Linked DNA regions of Arabidopsis thaliana. The protein of the gene in region 1 interacts with the protein of each later gene in a pairwise test. Each region holds a gene or a part of one and is shown on either strand. Other genes may lie near its edges.

Region 1 (6,854 bases):
TGTTGACTTGTAATGTGGTGATGAAGTGAGAATAGAAGGAATAGTATTTATAGATTTAGGATTGAACCATGAAATCCAATTGTATGTAAGAAAATGCAACTTGACTTGAATCCATTTGGGGTGATGTTAATACTTTGCATTACTTGCGCCGTGATATTTGGAAGAAAAAACTTCACTATTTTTTTTCCTGAACTTTCTTATATGCAATTTGTTTCGTTTGTGGTTTGCTTCTTTGGGTTCAATATATGCAATTATACTGAAATCAAAATCGAAAACCTCTTGTCTAGTGGTTAATCAAGAATTTAATGATATACACCACGTTTGGGGTTACTTGATCGTCGATTGTTTTGTTGTAATAACTAAAGTAACCTTTTTCAGTTTTTGGTTGGTTATGTAATAATTTAAAGTTCTATAACCCGTCGAAACACGAATTCATGATCTTGGTCCAATTTTATTTCAAGAAATCTCACCAAGTAAGCTATTTACCCCATATATTTATAGTTTTCTTTTTATTATTCAGAGATCACACTTTATGAATTCCTTTTTGGTTAGGATCCTCGTAGTATGTAAACACTTAAGGTTTAGTCAAAAATAGCATAGTTTATGTTAAATTATGAAAGTAGTACACTTTTTTCTTTTGGCGTGTACTTTACATATTTTTGTAATAAATTCTGTTAAAAAGTTGATTTGTTTGTCATTTCCGCAACGAATGACTAGAAACAAAGTGTCTAAAACAATACATATTATATGTCTGCCCAATCACTGAATGGAGGAGCAATGAAGCATGGGCTCAAATGGATGCGTCATTGTCATCATACAAGTTTAATATTTTGGTATATTTATGTCTCTCTACTTGACTTACAAGAGTCACGTACTGCTACTTGTGAGCATTATAAAATTATGATCACTGTGTCAAAAACTTGTAAAGAAATCTTCGGTTAAATTCATCTTTCAACAATTAACATTGGTTATTGAACAAGTGATTCTTTTCTAAACTTAACTGAAAGGGCCAACAAAGTTGTATGGGCTTAGGGCCCTACCAATCTCAGGGCACGCTCTGTTTGTTGCTGGCATCATTTGCTTTGCTTTAATACATCTTTTTAGTAAAAGCACACATGTTAATACACAGTGAGAAACAAAGATGCCTTTGCTTGTTTGGGAATGAAAAGCACACATAGTTATGTAGAAATGTCATCATTTGGTTTCATTGGAAAGTGAACTGTATTCATCTGTACAGTAGTTATATGTAAAACGTGTAAGAAAAAACATATGATACAACTCCGAGAGAAAGAGAGGCGTTTGTCTTTCCTTAGCTAAGAATATGATCATTGACCATTCATAACCTTTCATATCAATTCACTAAAGGATCAAACTAAACAGTAACAAAAAAATCATGGTCCCAATTGCGTAGAAGAAGAAACTAGCTCTGGCCTAAAGAATCACTATTTACTCCACCAAACCGGCCAGTGTGTTTATCAGTGAGCTCGGGTTGAACAAGATACCGTGCTTCGGGTCACCAACACTCTCCACGACTCTCTGCAATAGAGTGGAGGTAACAGTGAGTGTTTGTTGTGCACATAAACTTGGAAACAAGTGAAGGAAAGAGATACTGACAACATCATATATCCCTTGTTCAGACAATTGTTTGAGATCTACTGCTATTTCTCCATCTTTCGGGACCAAGAGAGTGTTGATGTAATATCCAGGCTGCACACAAAAATGATGTTCTTGGATATCGATATATGTCTGATAAAGAAGACATCGAAAGAGTGTGGATTGTGAAGAACCACTCACGGGATTCTTGAGCCGAATATTAGTATCTCCATGAGTTCTGTTGAGAGCGTCAGCGATAGCAGTCACAAAGCAGGAAGCGGTGAACCTGCTTGTTTCTCGGTCTTGGCTACCGTTCAAAAGAAGTACCTGTGACAGAGAGAAGAAATCAGATTGATTTTTACCATCATTAGTATTTTTGACAAGCTTCAGCATACCTTACGACATGACCTGGAAGAGATAATCTCCCCAACACCAAGCAAAACCTGATGAACAGAAAGACTTGTCTATAACAGTTATCACAAATTTAGTAATCCACCATTTTTGCACAACATATTTATTGCGGGTGCTAACCAGTGATGGGCAAATGGAAGTGAACAGGGATCCCATTGCGTAAACGATACAGTCCACGCTTCTCAACTGCTCTAGGACAGTTGGGTTAACTGGTGGGAAGACCTGTTTAATGGACATAACACCAAACATTTGCAATGTCAAATACACCGTGCAAAACAAAGAAATGAAGTAGAGAACTAAAACGATAGAGTTTCTTAAAGGGAATCAGAATCATTAGAGATAACATTGAAGATATCTAGGACATTCTGTATATATAAAAGCAGAGTAGTTAACCTCATGAAGCAGATTATTGCCTTCACTTGACATGTAAAACACTCTCTTTATCTTCGATGGGAGAGCGGAAGTAGAACAATGTCTCTACTAGAAACATAGAAAGACAATGTAAGAAAATAAATTCTACATATGGCAAAATTGACATTTTTAATTGATACAAGTATATAGTAAACTTAGTTCTCGTGATCATCAAAAAACACCAATGTAAGATATTCAAATAGAACACCTTGTCAACTGTCTGCGTAGTCCCAGTGGTCGGGTGAGAAATTTCGTTCTGTCCGCGTATTATAGTCCCATCCTACAAATTAAAGTCATAACTTGTTAGTTTGCGAACAAATTTGCCACCTCAATCTTGCCATTAATTGTTTAAACCAAGAAGATGGCCAGTGAAGCGACAGCCAAGATTTATGTATAGAAAGCGATACTTCTTCCCGCAAATAATGATGCTTTAGCTGCGATATTTGTGGACAAGAATGGGATTCCATAAGCTAGCTGCGGGAATTCAAATAGAGATCAAGCTTCATACCTGTAATTCACATCCTAGTGTTAGCCTATCATTGGTTGATATCACTGGGAGGACCAAACTGTCACAAGGAATCTCTGAAACACGTGAAAACAGAAAAATTGCAGCATCTAAAGACTGGAAAAATATCCTTGCTCCTGCAAAGAAGAAGTTCCCAATGCTACAAGAAGGAAACAATCATAAGTGAGTTACTAAACAGGCGAACAAAATAATACACAGTTGAAGCCGAGAAAAAGATCTTCAATACCTTCCATTACTGAAGCAAAATCTCTCATTAGGTCGCCTATGAATCTGTATCATAAGAAACATGTCAAGTAAGAAATGACAGAATATTAAGGTAAAGAAAAATTTAAACAATCAAGAAGTTGGAACTTGGAACTGATCAAATATGAAACCAATAAAAACATGTTTCTCTGTATCAGTTAACATTACCTCATTCTGAAAGTATATCAAGAAAGCGCGAATTGTTTCACTGTAGGGTCTTGATACACCATCCCACAGAGAATGATTACCTTCTACAATATCGTACCTGTCAAAGTTCCAACTCAGCCAATGGTATATTACACAATATTGTCCACCACAGAACCTTAAATGTGTAGCTTATAGAGTAGACCACACTATGTGCATAAAGAAAACATAGTCATTGGATAAATTACCAATCTTTCTTGGCCTGATGTGCATCAATAGGTAAGCGATGGCCAAGCAACCGCCTAACAGCAAGTGCCTCTGAAGTACTCTCATCAGACAGCCTTAAACACCTCGAACGTATATCACCAACCGCTGGCCCTCCTATAGCAACGGAGATATTGAGCTTAGATTACTTCTGGTAAAAACTTAAAGAAGCTAAAACATATATAATCTGGGTCTTGTAGCAATGTTAGTGAGTTCTAAAACTTACCGAGAACACGAACAATCTCAGCAGTACTTCCACCATCATCAGAGACAGGAAGAACATGAGCGACTCGTGTTGTTAACTTCTTCAACTCTTCAACCACACCATTAAATCCAGTACCACCTTCATAGCAACAAATATAACGTTTTCCAAAATTCAGAGCAAAAGAAAACTACCTAAACCAATGTAAGACAATGATAAAGCTTTGCACTTTGCAACAAACAGAATTAACAAATGTCAAATTCTAAGTAATTGGTCAAGATCTAACACAAATAGACGATCTTATCGACATAAAAATCGTAACTTTAGGGAGACCCACGAAACAAGGAAGAGGAAGAAAGTGGAACCTGAGAAGACGAGGAGAGAAGGAGGCTCCACGGTGGAGGAGGAGAGACATTCAGCCATGAGAGAAGTGGAATTGTAGTAATGTGGCTTCTTGCTGCGGAAGAGAGAATGAAGAGACAAAGGAAGAGATGGTGATTTATAATGGACTAGACCCCCAAAATAGCAAATCTCCGCCATTACCGAACTGAAACAGAGAATGATGAAACATCTCACCACTACCCTTTTCGTTTTTGTCGATTTTCCAAGCCTTTGGATTTTTCTTTTTTCGCAATGAGAGTGCATAATAAAGCCATAAAAGATATTTATTACGCGTTAGAAAAGAAAATAATCACGGTACTGGTGGTTTTGTTGGTTTTCTACTTGGTTTGGTCCAATAAACCAAAACTAGTGTTAAATCGATTTTGGTGGGATTGTGGTTTTGCATTAGTGTTTGAGCTCAAAATACATGTATAGACCAAATGTCGATGATTCCACTGGAAAGGTACCTTAAGATAATCTAAAAGATCACATGATCGAATGGCAAAGAAGACAAACAATAATGATAAGAAAAAGTACACTATTTGGTATTAAACCCCAAGTTAATAGAGTGACATAAGCCTTGTGAAAAACGAATGAAACACTCAAAAAACTACACAAATAAATATCATTAAAGCCGATGTAAAGTATAAACTCGATCAAATCACACACATTTTTTGCCAAAAGATCAGAGCCCTAAGCACTCTTCACATAAACCCAATCACCATCTGGTAAAAGGGTCTCGACCTCACCAAATTCCGTATTCTTCGCAATTGTCTCTCGCCTCACATTCACAAATCCTTGTGATACGTCATCTTCATCGTCATGAAGCACTTTCCTTAGCTCGCTCATTCTCTGCTCGCGCGACATCTCCATCGCTTCTTCAGAGTGATATTCCCCAGCTTCATCATCCTCCTCATCGCATGATTCTTCATCTTCTTCGTCGGAAGACGTGTCAACATTATATAACTGCTGATAACCACCTTTCCACGTCAAACTTGAACCCTAATCACAAATACAATAACCAAATCAGCAACTGATTAAAATAACAACATTTCATAGATGATCATTTTCCTAGTTTTTGTATGAGCATAGGTATAAAAATGTGAAAAAAACTGCTACACAAAAACTTACACTATCTTTTTCATTACGATGATCGTAGGAACTAGGGGTATAATTCGTCGCTGATCCCAAATCAAGCTCCGACATGTTTTCGGAATATTTAAAAACTGTAGTATCCGCTTCTTCATCTTCATCATCAAAATCCTCATTCCATGAATCATCACTATCTTCGGAGAAAATGTCAACATCTTCTTCATCGTCATTATCCTCTTCTTCTTCTTCATCGAAAGACAAGTAGCCACTCTTTAACAGCTGATAGTCACAGTTCCACTTCAAACTCGATTCCTATATCAGAAAGATTCAGTCAGAGACAATAAACAAAGTAGCAACTAATTAAATTTACCAAAATTCCGTTATACAAAATCCATGGTGATTTACTTATTCTAGTTAATGAGCTTTGATATGAAAATGGGAAAAGTGCTTCAAACTTACACTATTCTCTTCATCATAATCATCATCATCAATACCATCAGCACCATCACCATAATTTTCATAACAATCATCACCACCTTGTGCTTGAGTGAAACTCTCTGGGAATTTTGAAGCTGCCAAGAAAATCAATATGATACTTGTCAGTCAAGAAACCAAAAAAGTGCTGATGTTCTAGCTACTTTAATTTAATGGTATTTACAATAACTATAATGTAATATATACTATATATAAAACACATACCACGCATAGCCCAGTGTTGGCTCGGTTTTTCTTTGACCTCAGCAATGCACATAGACCAGTGTTGAAGCGGTTTTTCTTTTACGTCAGAAAGGCACATATACCAGTGTTGAATCGGTCTTTCTTTGACCTCAGAGACAGGATATTGAGAGGAATGTTCATCACCAGATCCACCATTATCTGGCTGTCCGGTCAAGTCTTGGTTAGGCTGGTCGTCAAATATGTCTTTGGTTAACTCTGTCCAGAGTTCAATACTCTGAAAATATAGAAAAGAAAAACCAAATCAAAGAAAAGTTGTCATGTAAACGGTAAGTTTTGACAATCGAAGCCTGTTTTATGGAAAGATCTAACTATCATGAATAGTTCTGGTTTTCAAAAGGATTAGACCGTGATCAATTAGGTTTCCATAAATCTAATAAAATATCTGATGGAACTGAAGCTGTCTTTCTATGATCTCTTGGTCTTTCTATTTTCAGATCTTATGCAAAACTTTTTTTTATACTCTTCATCGTTTAAGAAAAAAAAAAATCTAAAAGAACCTTGGAAACCTTAATTCTGTTTTAACTACTAAATACACTAATAACTAAAATACATTATCTACATCAATTCGTAGCATATACTTTGCGTTGATGATGATGATGATGATGATGATAAAAGAACATAGGTTTAGTCTTTTAGCCACACAACATAGACAGAACCATAAACTCTTGAATTTTAGGGCATAAACATCAAATAAAGATCAAACCAGAAGAACAAGAGTACTTACCTTCTGTATCGATTCGTCAACCTTGGTAAATACCAATCCGACTTCGTCCATAAACTTATCAAACCACTGGTTACCTTCTACGCCTCCCATAATCTTTAATTTAACCTGACCTGGTACCGTATGAA
Region 2 (8,076 bases), on another chromosome or scaffold:
GATCTTATCTTTTTTTTTGTAGAAAATGAAATTGTGATGAAATATATATACATTACTAGCAATACATTTGCATATAAAGAATGGAAAGTTATCTTGCAAAACAAAGAAAGAAGTTATTCCTCTAAGATCATGAAGCAAGTAAAGCAAATCACCACAATAGAGTCATAAACCTTCATTTGCTTCAACCACAATTCTCATTCCATACTATATATATATATAAAAACTCTTTCTCCCCATTTTCACTTCTTCATCACCACAACACAAACACTTTAAATATTACTCACAAAAATCGAAATGGTGTCTGTACGATCTGTGTTCGTGGCTCTAACCATTCTTTCCATGGATCTAAGGATCTCTCAAGCCAGACCTCATGTCACTTTGAACGAGCAATCAATTGTTGATTACCACCAACAATGGATGACTCAATTCTCTCGAGTTTACAAGGATGAATCCGAGAAAGAAATGAGGCTTAAAGTGTTCAAGAAAAACTTGAAATTCATTGAGAACTTCAATAATATGGGGAACCAAAGCTATACACTTGGTGTCAACGAGTTCACGGATTGGAAAACAGAAGAGTTCCTTGCGACCCACACCGGCCTCCGCGTTAACGTAACTTCACTATCCGAACTATTTAATAAAACGAAGCCATCAAGGAATTGGAACATGAGTGATATCGACATGGAAGACGAAAGCAAAGACTGGAGAGACGAAGGAGCTGTAACACCTGTTAAATATCAAGGAGCATGTCGTAAGAATACTGTGATCATTTATTATAAACACTTTACACTATAATTGGAAACAGCGTTACAAGAAAGGATAGCATATTCCGACCAAAGAATTTGTCGGAACATCTTGTTTCAGCCGAATTTCCAACGAAACAGATTCGTCGCAATTCTTTGGTCGGAAAACAATATACGTACGATATAGTAAACGGCTGGATTGGTCATTTAATTAATGTCAAAATTACATTCCACATACAAAAAAATACATTTCGCTAAACTTAATCCCCAAGATAGGGTTATTTTAGGTTTAGGGCTAACAGATGATTTGTTTACTAACAAAATGAAGTAACCAATATATATATACATGGGCAGGAAGTTGTTGGGCGTTCTCAGCGATTGGGGCGATGAAGGTTTGACAAAGATATCTGGCAAAAATCTATTAACACTGTCCGAACAACAGCTAATAGATTGCGACATAGAGAAAAACGGTGGTTGCAATGGCGGAGAATTTGAAGAAGCTTTCAAGTACATAATAAAAAACGGAGGCGTTTCTTTAGAAACGGAATACCCTTACCAAGTGAAAAAGGAGAGTTGTCGTGCCAACGCCAGACGCGCCCCACATACACAGATTAGAGGGTTTCAAATGGTTCCAAGCCACAACGAGCGTGCGTTGCTCGAGGCCGTAAGAAGACAGCCCGTCTCGGTGTTGATTGACGCAAGAGCGGACAGTTTCGGTCATTACAAAGGGGGAGTGTACGCTGGGCTGGACTGTGGGACAGACGTGAATCATGCAGTGACGATCGTTGGGTACGGAACGATGAGTGGGCTCAACTACTGGGTTCTTAAGAACTCTTGGGGTGAGAGTTGGGGAGAAAATGGTTACATGAGGATCCGTAGAGATGTGGAGTGGCCTCAAGGAATGTGTGGTATAGCTCAGGTTGCTGCTTATCCGGTTTTTTAACTAATTTACTTAGGTGGTTTTTTATATTGAAGTGATCATACATTTTGTAGCCTGGTTTATGATTGTTTACATGTGGTAAAATTGCAACTTAAACTTGACCTTAAAAACTGTAATATGTTCATTTTATTACTCCATATAAACGTATTTCCCTCACTTTCATAATAAATAAAGGGATGTGTTTTTCACTTAAATCGTGTTCCATAAGAAACATTGTTTGAATTTTCAATGCAAATTTTAAAACCAAATTTAAAATTATCGCTAATAAAACTAAAATTATAGTGTAAGACGTGTTAATTACAAGTAGATTTTGATTTTATTTTTCATCGAAAATGAACCTTTATTAACTTTAATCGAATATCAAACTAGTACAAATGATGGCAAATCCATGGGGCTGGATTAGAGACATCCAAATAGAAAGGTGAATCTACACATCCATATTAGCTAAATGGTAAGCGGCAACATTGTTGCAACGTTTTGTGAAAAGGAATTGGAACTCTTTAAATTTCTGCGACCAATAATGGATATCTTGACATGATATCCTTATGATTAAGATACCTTAGGCAGTATTATAAGTAGATTAGCAAAAAAACAAAAAAAAATTATATATGAATCCATCATTAAGCTTGATTTGTTTTTTTAACTTGTCCAAATAAAAGTTTAGTTTCAATATAACAACATCTACAACACCCGGTTACATATGATACCTCGAGGTCCACGACGACACACTAGTACACTACATATACATAACCAATTCGCACCATATGATATTTAGATACCCCTTTGACAATATCATGTAAGGGCTTTTTTGGAAAGCATCACTAACAAGTTAACAATTGGATTTTTACAAAAACCATAAAAATTTTACTCGGTTTAGTAGACAAATATATTTTGGTGTTATCTTACCATTTACACCAAAAAAAAGAAAAAAAAACTACTAGCAGTATTGATTAAAAATTTAAAACAGAAAATATATATATATATATATACCAAAAAATTGTAAATAGTATTCTTTTGACCTTTGTTTTGGAGTGAATTGGTTGATGAAGAAGAAGAAGAACCTGGTCCGATTCTAAACCTTTTTTTGAATATAAAACGGAATAAAAATATTCTGTGTTTGAGTCGCCTAACAACAACACGCACCACCCGAAATTATAAAGTAAAAGTAATAAAATCAAATTATATAAATTGGCAAAAGTCGAAGAAGATGATGATTGAATGTTTATTTGGCAGTGAATGGAAGAGATAGAGAGGAGCATGGGTCTCTGTGAAGAAGATAACGTAGAGAGAGTTATTATGTTTGATTCTGAAGCGTGACGTCACTCAGAAACCGTGAATCAAGGATCTTTCTTCCACTCCTTTCTCTGATTTTGACTTTCTCTCCTCTCTCTATATATAAGCTCAACATCAATATGTCTACGGCTTCTTCTTGGATTCAACAACCTCCTTTTAGATACTTACCGGATCGTGGCGGTTTCTCTAAGCCAAGCTCTCGCAGCGCGCGGCAGTTTTCCTCCGGCGTTGTTTCAGCTTCCGCTTCTTCTCCTTCGCCTTCATCCTCGTGCTCCTGTGGTTATTCGGAGATTTTGAATTTCGATTTCGGTAATAGGCTTTGATCTTCGAATGATGTTTGTCGTGTAGATTTAGGGATTGATTACTTTGTTCATGTTTATCGAATGATGCGTTGTTACATCTGGAAATGACCTGACATTGTACTGCAAAGTTTCATAGCTGAGGATTTCTCGATCAAAGACGTTGTTTAGGATGGTGAAGAATAGTATCGCCTAATTTAGATTGAGGAGGAGCTCAATTACAGTGTCTATATACACAGATTTGTCCCTGTTTCTGCAAGAGATAGAAGATTTTAAGATGTTAGATGATTGTGATATGCCAAGTAGAATTAGTGATAGTATGGTTTGTTTGGTCAAGAATCGGCTCTGTTTTTCTTTTGATTTAGAGCTCACAATTTCGGTGTCTATTTAAACAGATTTTTCCCTGTTTCTGCGATCGAAAATAAGCTTGAACATGTTAAATGATTGTGAGAAGCTAAGTAGAAATGGTGATAGTATGATTTGTTTGGTTAAGAATTGGCTCTGTTCTTTATAGCTTTTTCCGCGGGTTCATTTGTTTGATTTTTCTTTAAGAAGGGTCAAACAGAAGCTGGAACCAACAGGGACGCAGGGTTCAGGCAATGAGTTCCACAGCCCAACGGAAATTTTCGCTATCGAAAGGCGACTCCGATGACAAAAATGAACCTGATCATCTTCTTGTTCTTGTACATGGTATTTTGGCCAGGTATTATTTCTAAGTAGTTCATCAATTGAATGGTACTGGGTTTGCATCTTGGGAAACCCTCATGGTTTTGTTTTAGGTTGGATAGAAACTTGCAAGTATTTGAATTTGAAAGTTATGTCTATCATTGTCAAAAAAAAGAAAGAAAGTTATGTCTATCATTTCTGCTACTTTGTTTTCAGATTGAATAATTTATAGACTCCAAATTTACTAAGACACAATTACTTGCAGTCCCAGCGACTGGCTCTACGTAGAAGCTGAGCTGAAAAGACGCCTTGGAAGAAGATTCTTGATTTATGGTATGCTCATCTTGTTCTAAATTGTTATCATCTATTAGTTTAGTTGAGTAGTTGTTGGATTGTATGTATAATAGAAGAGAATTTTTGGGAATGAAATGGTAACGTAAGTTGAATGCATGTGCTGGGCACAAAATTGAAAACACTTCAAGGTCTTATATAATCTTTAGCGGCAAGAGGCGAAATATACATTTTCTTGAAAAATTTAAGATCTTTTCGTCTGGAACCACAACTCTTCTTTAGTTTTGTATTTTATTATAATACTCATGTGCTTTTATGCTATGCGTGGAATGGATCACACGTGATGTGTTTTAATTTACTCTGTTTCTCCTGAACATTCACAGCAAGTTCTTCCAATACCTTCACTAAAACATTTGGCGGGATCGATGGAGCTGGAAAACGACTAGCAGAAGAGGTGAGTTTTAATATCTTCATTTGCACCTCGTGTATAGGTAGGTCTTGGTTTTCTAGCCCTTAACTTCAGTACATGAGCTGATTTCTGTTCCCATTCTGGATGTGAGAGAGGAATAGGTTAGACAAGTTGTCCAAAAGAGCAAGAGCTTAAAGAAGATTTCGTTTTTAGCCCACTCCCTCGGTGGCTTATTTTCCAGACATGCTGTTGCTGTTCTTTACTCAGCAGCAATGGCACAAGTAAGTGATGTTGCTGTCTCTCAATCTGGCAATTCAAATCTTCTGCGAGGTAGGATTGCGGGGCTAGAACCGATTAATTTCATCACTTTGGCAACACCTCATCTAGGAGTGAGAGGCAGAAAGCAGGTTCTCTTCTTCTCTACTTATCATAATTGGAATTTTGGAATCAAAGAGTTTCATATATATCTCGCAGTACCTGTACGTAGATGTGGTGTATGCGTAATTAAGAAAGTAGTTAGTCGTTTTTCACATGTAAATTTCATCTACCTTCTCCTTGTGTTCAGACAGATATCATAAGTTTCATCAAAACTGTCTTGCGTTTTTTGCTATTTGGTCCCCTAAGTGTCTAGACTGATGAGTGATGAATATTAATTGATAATCCCTGTAAATTCTATCTCATTCTCTCCTCTTTTTCTGGAACCCCTTGTATCAGCTGCCTTTTCTGTTGGGAGTTCCTATTCTTGAGAAACTTGCTGCACCAATAGCTCCATTCTTTGTTGGTCGGACTGGTAGTCAGTTGTTCCTCACTGATGGTAAAGCTGATAAACCACCTCTTCTTTTGAGGATGGCATCTGATGGTGAAGATCTGAAATTCTTGTGAGTAATGCTCTTACCAATTTAAATCATTCGACCCCTTAATGACTTATCTGTAATCCTAATGCATTTCATTGTCTGGCAGATCGGCGCTGGGGGCATTTCGAAGTCGCATTATATATGCAAACGTATCTTATGACCGTATCCTGTGCATTTCTGTTGCTGTTTAACTAGTACAGATGTGCCTAGCTGTGTCTGCATTTGTTTTCTGAACTGTTTCCTTTGACATCAAGTAGACATGGTTGGTTGGCGTACATCTTCCATTAGGAGAGAAACTGAACTTATCAAGGTACGTTTCATGCTATATGAAGCAATGGAACCTTTCTATTTAATATTACCCCACTTGTTTTCATGTTCCTTCTATTATGTAAGTTGATTTCGACTCTGAAACGTGTAGCACACACTAGCTAGATGATGGGGTCATCGATATTGATAGTTAGCTTGCTGTGAAATGCTAACGGTAGCTAACTTATCCTGAATTTTGGAATTATGAGTAATCATAGAGGGAAAGTTTCATAGAGGTAAAGAGTCTAAGAAATGAAACAATTGTCTGTAGAGAATCACCAAAAATACTTTCGGCAATTCATTTATCTCAAGTAGCTTCGTGCAAGAAGCTCTCTGTGGCTTGTAACCAGTCAAATGAAACTTTGAAAATTATTTAGCTGTCACGAGTGAGATCTGATAGATATGTTTTTCCCCTGTTTTAATATAGCCTTCACGCCGGTCTCTGGATGGATACAAGCATGTTGTTGATGTTGAATACTGTCCACCTGTTTCATCAGATGGTGCCCATTTCCCTCCAGAAGCTGCTAAAGCCAAGGAGGCCGCACAAAGCTCTCCTAGCCCTCAGAACACACTTGAGTATCATGAAATTGTGGAAGGTGTAGAATTAGCCCAAACATTTGATTGATTCTTCTAAATCGGCATGAGATTTACAATTTATACAAATATTGGTGCAGAGGAAATGATCCGCGGTCTGCAGAGGTTGGGGTGGAAGAAAGTTGATGTCAGCTTCCACTCCACCTTCTGGCCTTACTTAGCTCATAACAACATTCACGTAAACTTCCAACATCTTCACTTTGGAGCTTTTTAATTCTTTGAAACATGGACTAACAGAGATTTTGAGTCTTGTTTCAGGTGAAAAGTGAAAGACTTTACAAAGCAGGAGCTGGAGTTATTGCACACGTTGCAGATAGTATAAAACAGCAAGAGTCTTCCACGTTTATTACCGCCAGCTTATAAATCGTGAGCATTTCGAGTGTTTGACCCGTTAATGCTGAGTGTGCTACGACATTTGAACCATTCCTGTGTTTTGCTTTTACCATACAGTTTGGGAGATCGGTGCAGATCAAGAATGTTCGCATCTTTGCTTCTTCTATTTTTTTTCTTGGCGAAATCAGAAGAAGTACAATCCAATTCATCTGTACATGATTTTCTTGTATTAGCTTGTTGATGATACAACACTTGAAAGATGTTATTATAGATTAAGGTTTCTTAAAGAGAAAAGTTATATATGTTCAACCTCTACTCTTCAAAATAACAGATTCAGCTGAAGACATTTGTTTCTAGTCAATTTGTTTTTGGAATTTTTCTTAATTCAAAGAAAATTGTGCAAAAGCTTTCATGTGCGGCTCAGATTAATTAGTCATTTACTACTAATAAAACTTTCACTTTGGGGTCTAGTAGATAATTCTCCACCCCCATTGAATCTTTTTAGTGGAGGTCTAAACATACATAAGATTCTATAGATTGACATTTGGGAAACCATCCTCATACAAAAAAGACCTAAACGGAATCTATGAAGAATTATTAACAGAAAAGAAAAACAGATGGCAATGAGAAAAGATCGGGTTCAAGGAAAACACAGCCGTACAAAACTCAAGAACAAAAACACCAAAAATAAACAAAAAAACTTCCAAAAATAGATATAGAATCACATGGTTTTGTTGTTTTGTCTATTTGTTCTCTATAAAAGGAGATATTTGGTTGGATCTATCATAGCGTCTCCTCTCAACCAAAGCTTACAATTTGTTCTCCCTTAAAAACTAAATTTTACAAATAAACTCTCAAATCCAAGAGAGGAGAAGACCGAAGTAAAAACACAAGAAAAAAAAGGATTAAGGCATAATGGCCAAATTCTTCATTGTCTTCCTTGCCTCTGCCCTATGTTTCACCACCCTCGTTCACTTCACCGCAGCTGATGCCGACGACTTTGACAAATTCCACATCAAGGGCTCCGTCTACTGCGACACATGCCGTGTCCAATTCATCACCCGTATCAGCAAATTTCTCGAGGGTAATTAACCACATTCTCTAATCAAATTCATTTGTTGAGCATACTGTCAATAGCAAAATATATTGGTTGATAAAAAATCGATCCCATTATGGTATATAGGTCAATGGTTAGAATTGTGTAGTAAAAATTCACAAAAATGATTACAAGCATATATAGACGTCTTTTTAACAATGTTAAAATTTTATAAAAATGTGGTTAGTCACATTTCTAAGAGTTAGTGTTGCAAGATTATAAGAAAAACTAATTACGTTATTGTGTGTATATCAG
Region 3 (9,055 bases), on another chromosome or scaffold:
AGGTTGAGAAGTGGACCAATGAGTATTGGGAGGCCCAAAACAAGACATTTCAACAAAGAAAGTAAGTACAATTCACCCGGGAGTAATGCAAGTGGTATAACAATATTAAATGTTTAAAACTTTATGTCAGTCGTCATATAAGCACCAACTTTGTTTGTTTTTTTAACAAATGAATATGATATCATTAATTCTTTTCTGTTAACTATCATTATTGGTTAGACGTCCGATTTTCACATAAATATTATCAATTTATCATTTAAACAATGCAGGGAAAATAATTGGAACCTTGGTTCGTTGGTGCTAATGTAAATGAAATAAATTAGTTACAAGTTAAAGAAGCATTGCATAATTGACCCCAAAAATTACGAGTTTACATTGTAAAATTAGGCATTTGCCCAAAATATATATATATATATATATATATATATATTTACAGTAAATAGCCAATTTGTGGAAGGTATTCAATTTATTTATCTGCAAAATAATTTTCGATAGATAGTTGTGAGAAAAAACCTACCAAGCGAATTCGATAGATAGATTTTTTTTGCTTGAGGTTTTAACAAATTTCATGTCTTTTTTTTTTTCTGATAACATACATGACATTTTCTGAAAACCCTACCACGCAATTTTACTAATTTTGGATTTAAATACGACAATGTACCTAATAAGCCCTTGCATTATCCCCAATCTTACTTGTTGACAAATAATGTTTTTATTTAATATCATATAAATTCATAATCAAAAGAATTCTGATGATTGGCGTCACGATTAATAACAGATAAGCGCGTTGCGTGACCCTAATTAAATACGGTCAACGTTTAATTACATTACAAAATTCCCCCAAAAAAACATTTGCCTAGTTGTCTTGTAAGACAAGTCTCCACGATCTCATAAGTGTAGAAGAAACTTTCAAAAACCTCTGCTCTGTTTTCTTCAGAAATTTTTTAAGTAAAAATGATGAGTAATCTGAAACTTGGCGTTGAAGTCATAAGCGCAAGGCTCAAACCTAGAGAGGACTATGGCGGTGTTAACGCTTACGTCGAGCTACGATTTGACGATCAGAAAGTCATAACTATGACTAAGATCGATGACTCTAGTCCGGTGTGGAACGAGAAGTTCTTCTTCAACATCTCTGATACAGAGGATTTATCAAATCAATTTCTTGACGCTTACGTTTACAATAAAACCAGCAGCATAACAAAATCTTGTCTAGGTAAGATTCGAATATTGGGAACTGCGTTTCTCCCGTACTCAGAAGCTGTTGGATTGCCTTATCCTCTAGAGAAAGAGAAATGGAGCATGTTCTCTTCCGCTGCCGCCAATGGAGGTGAGCTCGCTCTCAAAGTTTTCCTCACTGATAACCCCTCTCCCAAGGTACCGAATCTAATCTCTACAAAGAAGATTCCTTCTAAATCAAGGCACAAATTTCACAACATCCCCACAAATGAGAGTAACCATAGCCCACGAGGGAATCAGCAATCGTTTCAACCGCAACCGCCTCCGCCTCAATCGCAAACGGCTCTACCGCCACCGATGATGGAGTCTTCTCTCTATCAAGCACCGAGGTTTGGTACTCCGATACCTACAACTATGGGGTTTAATCCGAATCCACCGGATTATTCTATCAAAGAGACGAAACCGATTCTCGGAGGAGGCAAACGAGCAAGATCAAGTGATCATGATCTCGTCGAGCCAATGGAGTTTCTCTTCATCAAAATCGTGAAAGCTAGAAATCTTCCATCCATGGACTTAACCGGAAGTCTAGATCCATACATCGAAGTCAAACTCGGAAACTATACCGGCAAAACCAAACATTTTGAGAAGAATCAAAACCCGGTTTGGAACGAAGTCTTCGCTTTCTCCAAATCCAATCAACAATCAAACGTTCTTGAAGTCATCGTCATGGACAAAGACATGGTCAAAGACGATTTCGTCGGTTTAATCCGGTTCGATCTCAATCAGATTCCGACACGTGTCGCACCAGACAGTCCTTTAGCTCCAGAATGGTACAGAGTCAACAACGAGAAAGGAGGCGAGATTATGTTGGCTGTTTGGTTCGGTACTCAAGCCGACGAAGCGTTCTCAGACGCGACATACTCAGACGCTTTAAACGCTGTTAACAAATCGAGTTTGCGTTCTAAAGTCTATCATTCTCCAAGGCTTTGGTACCTCCGGGTTAATGTCATCGAGGCACAAGACTTAGTTATTGTACCAGACCGGACTCGATTGCCAAATCCATATGTAAAAATCCGGTTGAATAACCAAGTGGTTCGAACCAAACCGAGTCACTCGCTGAATCCAAGATGGAACGAAGAGTTCACTCTCGTCGCGGCTGAACCGTTTGAAGATCTGATCATCTCGATTGAAGACCGAGTCGCACCTAACCGAGAGGAAACGCTGGGAGAGGTACATATACCGATTGGTACAATTGATAAACGGATTGACGATAACCGGACAGTGCCTAACCGTTGGTTTAGTCTTAAAACTGAGAACCAGAGAAGAGTCAGATTCGCGACGACGAGACTTCATCTAAACGTTTGTCTAGAAGGAGGCTACCACGTTCTTGATGAATCTACTTACTACAGCAGCGATTTCAGACCGTCGATGAAAGAGTTGTTGAGTCATAAACAACCGTCTTTTGGTGTTCTTGAATTAGGAATCTTGAGAATTGAAGGTTTGAATTTGAGCCAAGAAGGGAAGAAGGAGACGGTGGATGCTTATTGTGTAGCTAAGTATGGAACCAAATGGGTCAGGACTCGAACCGTTACGAACTGTTTAAACCCGCGGTTCAATGAGCAGTACACATGGGAGGTTTATGAGCCAGCAACTGTAATAACAATCGGTGTTTTCGATAACAATCAGATCAATAGTGGTAATGGTAACAAAGGAGATGGGAAAATTGGGAAAATCAGAGTTAGAATCTCGACTCTCGAAGCCGGAAGGATCTACAGTCACTCGTATCCGCTTCTTGTTCTTCGACCTTCAGGTTTAAAGAAAATGGGGGAGTTGCATTTAGCGATTAGGTTTTCCTGCTCATCGATGTTTCAGATGCTAATGCAGTACTGGAAACCGCTTCTTCCCAAGATGCATTACGCAAGACCGTTGAAAGTAGTGCAGCAGGAGATTCTTAGGCAGCATGCGGTTAACTTAGTGGCAGCTCGGTTAAGTAGAGCCGAGCCGCCACTTAGAAAAGAAGTAGTTGAATACATTTCGGATTCAAATTCGCATTTATGGAGCATGAGGAAGAGCCGTGCAAATCTCTTCAGATTGAGTTCTGTTTTCTCTGGTTTACTAGGAACCGGAGAATGGTTTCAAGATATCTGCAGGTGGAAGAAACCGGTAGAAACTACAGCTATTCATATAATCTTCTTGGTGTTAGTGTGTTCGCCGGAGATGATTCTTCCAGTGATGTCTCTTTGCTTGTTCATGCTTGGGGTATGGAACTACAGGCTCCGTCCAAGACAACCTCCACACATGGACACAAGACTATCATTTGCAGACAATATCCACCCGGAAGAGCTTAACGAAGAGTTCGATACCTTCCCTTTTTCGTCTCAAGACCCGGGGATTGTAAAAATGCGGTACGAGCGGTTAAGGAGTATCGCTAGTAGAGCTCAAACGGTTGTGGGAGATATAGCAGGTCAAGGAGAACGAGTTCAGGCTCTGTTAAGCTGGAGAGATCCAAGAGCAACTTCGATCTTCATGGTGCTTTGTTTGGTTTCTACTGTCGTTTTGTATGTTGTGCCGTTTAAGGTTTTTGTTCTTCTCGCCGGACTATACATCATGAGACCTCCAAGATTCAGGGGTAAGACACCTCCTGGACCTATTAATTTCTTCCGACGACTTCCTGCTAAAACAGATTGTATGCTGTAGAATGCTAAAACGTATAAGAAACAAGCAATTTTTTTTCCCATTCATAACAAGTCAAGAGACCAAATCAACTAACTGAAAGCTCGAAAACACGCAGAAATTCCTAAACTTACTAATTGTCTTTTTCTTTCCTAAACAATACCAATAGACTACTTTGTTTCAGGGAGGTTAGCTCAAGTTTCTTCTTCTTCTCCTAGATTCAATGCTTATATATACATGAATCATCCACGCATTAGATCAATGTCCATATGGGGGTGATGCATATCCATTGACCTTGAACCAGTTGACCAAATGCCTACAGGAGTCTGAACAATGTTCTGACTTTGCTGAGGAACAGGAGGTGACGTTGCTGCTGTGTTATCGTTGTTGTTTTCCAAAGCATCAGTATCTTGGACATCTTCAGAAGTTTCTTCACGTTTTTTAATCTTCCCTTTCGGAATTGCCCAAATGAAGCTGCCAACAATGACCTTTTAAGGAGGCAAACACACATAGTTAAGCATAAGAAATCTAAATTCATCTAAGGAATTTGATAACAAGCGTAAGCTCACCTGGACTTGGCTTGCTGCTATTAGAGGACCTCCAATTCCACCACCAATGACACGACCATCGGGGCTAGCAAGTGAGACCGCTAGACTTCCAGTGCGGTTTGGGTAGTCATTGTCAGTTGTGTTCAGATAAGAAGTTGAGAGAGATATGAGCTCGAATAGACCCTATAAGTTTCAAAGTATACACCAAAATAAGTAATGTTTTTGTCTTCTAAAAGATAATAAAATGTGAGTGATGATTCAATAAAACCTCGTATATAATAGTTCCATGAGAAGGTGCTGGCTGAAGAAGAGTTGCAGTAGAGACAGCACCACTTGCGGATAAGACACATATCGCTCGTGGACCTTGATGCGAGAACGATATAACCTTTGAAGCAATGTCCTGAAAGCAACACCGAGAGTATGGTTATCTCAAGAACTAGAGGCAAGATTACAAAGAAAAAAAAGAACAGATTTATTCAAGAGGAGACAGAAGAAACATACTTCACCAATGGAAACTACGATTACATGCGGTGTGAAGCTCATCCCAGTTGATGAAGGCATCATTTCACCTTACAAAAAAGAATCAAATGTCTTCAGAAAAATCACAGCTAATTGTAATCAGGGAGAAACAGAGCAATAACAAAGTTTAAGAGAAAGGCCAAGGAATAATAAAAGAATAAATATTGAATTCAACAATTTGACATTATAAAATTCCACAGCTTTAATTAATCCTTAACAGTTCGAATTAGCTTATAATAAACTTCCCACCAATGTCCTCATTTGAAAAACTATATCATCAATTAAGCTCAAAACTTCCCACCATATTCAGAGCCAATGTCCTTGTCGGAAAATAAAACTCATAAGTTAGAGATTAGGGATATTACCAATGGAAGATAGCCGTTGCTTCTTGCCGGAGCCAGGAGGTCTTCCACGGCCACGTTTGTTAGAGTTCGGGGAAACGTTGGAGATAGAAGGAGACAATGCCAACGAAACAGAACCACCATCTTGTCCATATTTTCTAGGCCGTCCTCTCTTCCGCTTCACAGACGTGTCACCTGAAGGAGGAGCAACCAAAGCTCCCGCCGCCGCCGCTGACGAATCAGCCGGAGAAGAGTCAACGGGTAAAGGAGGAGACACGAATCCAGTAGAGACACCTCCAGGGTTTGGATTTGGGTTTGGGTTTGACCCAAAAGGAGAGATGGAATTGGTGAAATGATGAAATCCTTGTGATCCGTGAAACGTTGGTTGAGTTTGAGGAGGAGGAGGACCAGAACCGGGGATTCCTCTTTGGATATAGTAAGAACCCGACCCGGATAACGCCATTGCGTCTCTTCGATCCATAGCTTAACCAAAAAGACTCTGACTTTAACTTAGTAAAATTCGATGGGGACCCTAAATGGCTAACTTATAGGAGGAGGGATAAGAAGAGAACAAAATCAGAATCTAAAAGGGTTCGATAGACTTCAAGAGCAAGATAACAACATGCAACCGAAAATCTCTGAAAACTTATCAAAACACACAAACTTTCATTTCACCTAATTGTTTTTTATGTAGCTTTAGTATCAAGCTATGAGAAAATCTCAAGATGAAATTAGATCCAAAAGAGAAAAGGAAAGAACTTTAATTTTCTTCATCTCTTCTTCTCTGTTTCATTCTCTCACCAAAAGCAAAGAAATGAAGTGTGAATAAGCTTTCTCATCCATCAATCAACAATGGTGAAGAAAAAAAAAAGTTTTCTAGGGTTCTCTCTCTTTCTTTCTTCAGAGTGTATGTGATGTTGCTTTTTTTCTTTTACTGGGTGACAGAGGGAAAACAGAAACAAACAAAAAAAGATCCTTTCTCCAAGCATTTACTGTGGATTACAATACAATGGGATGATGAGGCAGGATTTCAAAATTCGAAATTAAATTTGAAGTCTCTGACTTTTGACTGTGATATAAGCTCTCTCTCTATCTCTCTAATAGACTTCTTTCTAGCATCTAGCAATTTGTAGGAGGGATCCATCCATCCATCATCATCATCATCTTTGTGTGGCTCATTCTCAACGCTATAGATTAGGTGCGTGTATCAAACGAAGCATTGGGAATGAGAGAGTGAATCTCACGCTTCTGATGTCGAGAGTGAGAGAATAGTGATGTGATCTAGTCAAGACTTTCTTTGTTCCTCACTGGCTTCCACTTCATCATAAGCTTTCAAAATTTATGAATCCCCCAATCTATCTTTAGACTCTATTTTACCATAAATACTTGAGACTAATGATTATATATTGGCATTAAGAGACATATAACATGAATATAAATTCCCATTTTGTGGAGTAAATATTGTTCTTGTCTCTGTTCTGTTCACTTTAAATCTTCATTTTTCTCTACAAACAATAATCATTAGGACCCAAGAGTTTATCAACAATACAGAATCTGAACGTTTAGTACTCATGTCATGTGAAGTGAAGTGAAGAAGATCAACAAGAACATTAATTGTTTGCTATAATCTTCTATGGGCCGGATAGGAATAATTAGGCCCAGTATCTAACACATCAAACAAAAACACATCGAAGTCGAATCGTCGGTGGGATAATTAGGCCCAGTATATTCAAACAAAATAACATTTAACAGATCCAAGTCCAATGTTGTCGTGGAACGAACGTCGTTTAGAATAATTAAGCCCAGTATTTAACATATCAAAGCCCAATGTTGTCCTAAAACGACGACGTTTGAATGTGGAACGTAAACAATCCTGGAACAACCGTTTCAACTACCTTTTTCCTATCACTTGTTTTTTCACCTCTCGAAGTCCTCCGATTTGCTACCCTTACGCAGCCTCATGTGTCAACCACCATTTCTCTTCTTCATCTTCGTCTCTATCAAACCCTAAACCTAAAACCCCTTATTTTCCCGCCAATGTATCAATCCATGAATCTATCAGTTTCTTCCAATTTCACTCACCGATCACTCCTCGAATCACGATTTCCTATATTCTCCACCGGATTCCGCAAATCCGTCAATCTCAAACCTCCCCGTGTCTCATCTGGTCCTGAATCCAACGATTCAGGTCACGAAACCTTAACCGATAAGCTTATCCATCTCCTCAGAGCTGTTCCAGATTGGGCAGACGAGATTAAAGAGCGTGGGATGCAGCAGAAACGCTCTCTCTACACACACGAGAAATGGGTTGAACATAGAAGCTCTCTTCGCCATGTGCGTCATCTACTCTCGAGCTTTTCTTCACGAGTTATACTCTCCCTGATTCCACCTGTTTTCTTCTTCACAAGCGTCGCGGTTGTGATCGCTAGCTACAACTCCGCCGTGGCTTTGGATTGGCTTCCTGGTATTTTTCCAATTCTTCGATCCTCGTCGTTGCCGTATCAGCTCACAGCTCCGGCTTTGGCTCTTCTTCTGGTCTTTCGTACGGAGGCTTCGTATTCTAGGTATGAAGAAGGAAGGAAAGCTTGGGTTGGGATTATTGCTGGAACTAATGATTTAGCTAGGCAAGTTATTTGTTCCGTTGATAGCTCCGGTGATGAATTGATCATCAAAGATTTGCTTCTTCGTTACATTGCAGCTTTCCCTGTTGCTCTTAAGGTAAAAAATATTCATCTCTTGCTTGACTCTATTGTTGGTTTCTGATGCTTTAATTTCATTTGCAGTGTCATGTGATTTATGGTTCAGATATAGCAAGAGATCTCCGGAACTTGATAGAAGCAGATGACTTATCTCTGATTCTTCAAGCAAAGCATCGTCCGCGTTGTGTAATCGAGTTCATTTCTCAGAGCATTCAGTTGCTAAAACTAGACGATGCAAAGAGAGATTTGTTGGTAGCATTCTTGAATCCTTGAACTCTCTATTAAAATTCTTTGCTATGAACACTTGACACCAATATATGTTCTTTGCGTCATTGCAGGAATCAAAGATGCTGCATTTACATGAAGGAATTGGAGTTTGTGAACAACTCATGGGCATTCCGATTCCTCTCTCTTACACACGCTTAACCTCGAGGTTTTTAGTCTTTTGGCATCTAACTCTCCCAATCATTCTCTGGGATGAATGCCATTGGATTGTTGTTCCTGCTACTTTCATTAGTGCTGCCTCTCTGTTCTGCATAGAAGAAGTACTTTGTCCTCCTCCTCCTCCATACTTACCCTCTTTTGCTTGAATCCTTAACCATTAAACCTTCTTTTTGGATTGGAAACTCTGCAGGTGGGTGTTCTTATAGAAGAACCATTTCCTATGTTGGCCTTAGATGAGCTTTGCGATCTTGTGCATAGTAACATCCAAGAAGCTGTTAAATCTGAGAAAGTCATACGTAACCGCATCATTGCAAAGATAAAGCTCCATGAATTCAAGCACTCATCAAATGGTCGCCATAGATCTTGATTACCGGTTGGTGTGAGTGATGTAGGTTGTCTTCCCGAGGGAGCTAAGAACATGTGATGGCTTAGGTTAGCTTTGATATATACGTATCGTATGTTAGAGTAAAATTCTTTTAGAGGTAATGGAGAAAGTGTTTAAGTGTTTTGAGAGAGTTTTTTAGGAAATAGAACTTTTATTACTTTGCTTTAAACTTGAATACAACTTCACAACATTGCAACATTTGAGAGGGGGAGGAGGTATTTATAGCCTCCAAACTACAAAATATCTAAAATATTTTAATCCTAAGTCTAG

The links. The genes of interacting proteins can lie anywhere in the genome.
Region 2: the proteins of MEE18 (region 1) and AT1G29120 interact in a two-hybrid assay, tested with the Arabidopsis thaliana proteins (one large-scale study listed by BioGRID).
Region 3: the proteins of MEE18 (region 1) and AT3G61310 interact in a two-hybrid assay, tested with the Arabidopsis thaliana proteins (one large-scale study listed by BioGRID).

The regions. Positions count from the first base shown.
Region 1 is NC_003071.7:14,394,837-14,401,690, forward strand, and holds MEE18 (maternal effect embryo arrest 18), read right to left. Parts: upstream 4,440-6,854; coding exon 4,160-4,439; intron 3,936-4,159; coding exon 3,819-3,935; intron 3,710-3,818; coding exon 3,577-3,709; intron 3,465-3,576; coding exon of another isoform or gene 3,450-3,464; coding exon 3,353-3,449; intron 3,212-3,352; coding exon 3,168-3,211; intron 3,081-3,167; coding exon 2,924-3,080; intron 2,696-2,923; coding exon 2,624-2,695; intron 2,482-2,623; coding exon 2,398-2,481; intron 2,227-2,397; coding exon 2,125-2,226; intron 2,037-2,124; coding exon 1,989-2,036; intron 1,921-1,988; coding exon 1,795-1,920; coding exon of another isoform or gene 1,708-1,794; coding exon 1,447-1,707; downstream 1-1,446. Other genes in the region: AT2G34100 (nonsense-mediated mRNA decay-like protein), read right to left, coding at 4,869-5,177, 5,307-5,579, 5,727-5,839, 5,967-6,219, 6,730-6,819.
Region 2 is NC_003070.9:10,171,389-10,179,464, forward strand, and holds AT1G29120 (Hydrolase-like protein family), read left to right. Parts: upstream 1-2,798; 5' UTR 2,799-3,092; coding exon 3,093-3,282; intron 3,283-3,824; coding exon of another isoform or gene 3,825-3,827; coding exon 3,828-3,975; intron 3,976-4,203; coding exon 4,204-4,271; intron 4,272-4,612; coding exon 4,613-4,683; intron 4,684-4,799; coding exon 4,800-5,045; intron 5,046-5,352; coding exon 5,353-5,516; intron 5,517-5,598; coding exon 5,599-5,654; coding exon of another isoform or gene 5,655-5,683; exon of another isoform or gene 5,684-5,746; coding exon 5,747-5,802; intron 5,803-6,225; coding exon 6,226-6,394; coding exon of another isoform or gene 6,395-6,423; exon of another isoform or gene 6,424-6,472; coding exon 6,473-6,570; coding exon of another isoform or gene 6,571-6,606; exon of another isoform or gene 6,607-6,650; coding exon 6,651-6,755; 3' UTR 6,756-6,758; exon of another isoform or gene 6,759-6,842; 3' UTR 6,843-7,133; downstream 7,134-8,076. Other genes in the region: AT1G29110 (Cysteine proteinases superfamily protein), read left to right, coding at 295-748, 1,133-1,683; AT1G29140 (Pollen Ole e 1 allergen and extensin family protein), read left to right, coding at 7,641-7,809.
Region 3 is NC_003074.8:22,686,708-22,695,762, forward strand, and holds AT3G61310 (AT hook motif DNA-binding family protein), read right to left. Parts: upstream 6,444-9,055; 5' UTR 5,739-6,443; coding exon 5,282-5,738; intron 4,967-5,281; coding exon 4,899-4,966; intron 4,798-4,898; coding exon 4,666-4,797; intron 4,581-4,665; coding exon 4,419-4,580; intron 4,338-4,418; coding exon 4,092-4,337; 3' UTR 3,874-4,091; coding exon of another isoform or gene 955-3,873; 3' UTR 903-954; downstream 1-902. Other genes in the region: AT3G61290 (O-glucosyltransferase rumi-like protein (DUF821)), read left to right, coding at 1-65; AT3G61300 (C2 calcium/lipid-binding plant phosphoribosyltransferase family protein), read left to right, coding at 955-3,873; AT3G61320 (Bestrophin-like protein), read left to right, coding at 7,112-7,975, 8,041-8,208, 8,295-8,501, 8,591-8,767. UniProt on the Arabidopsis thaliana protein: Transcription factor that specifically binds AT-rich DNA sequences related to the nuclear matrix attachment regions (MARs).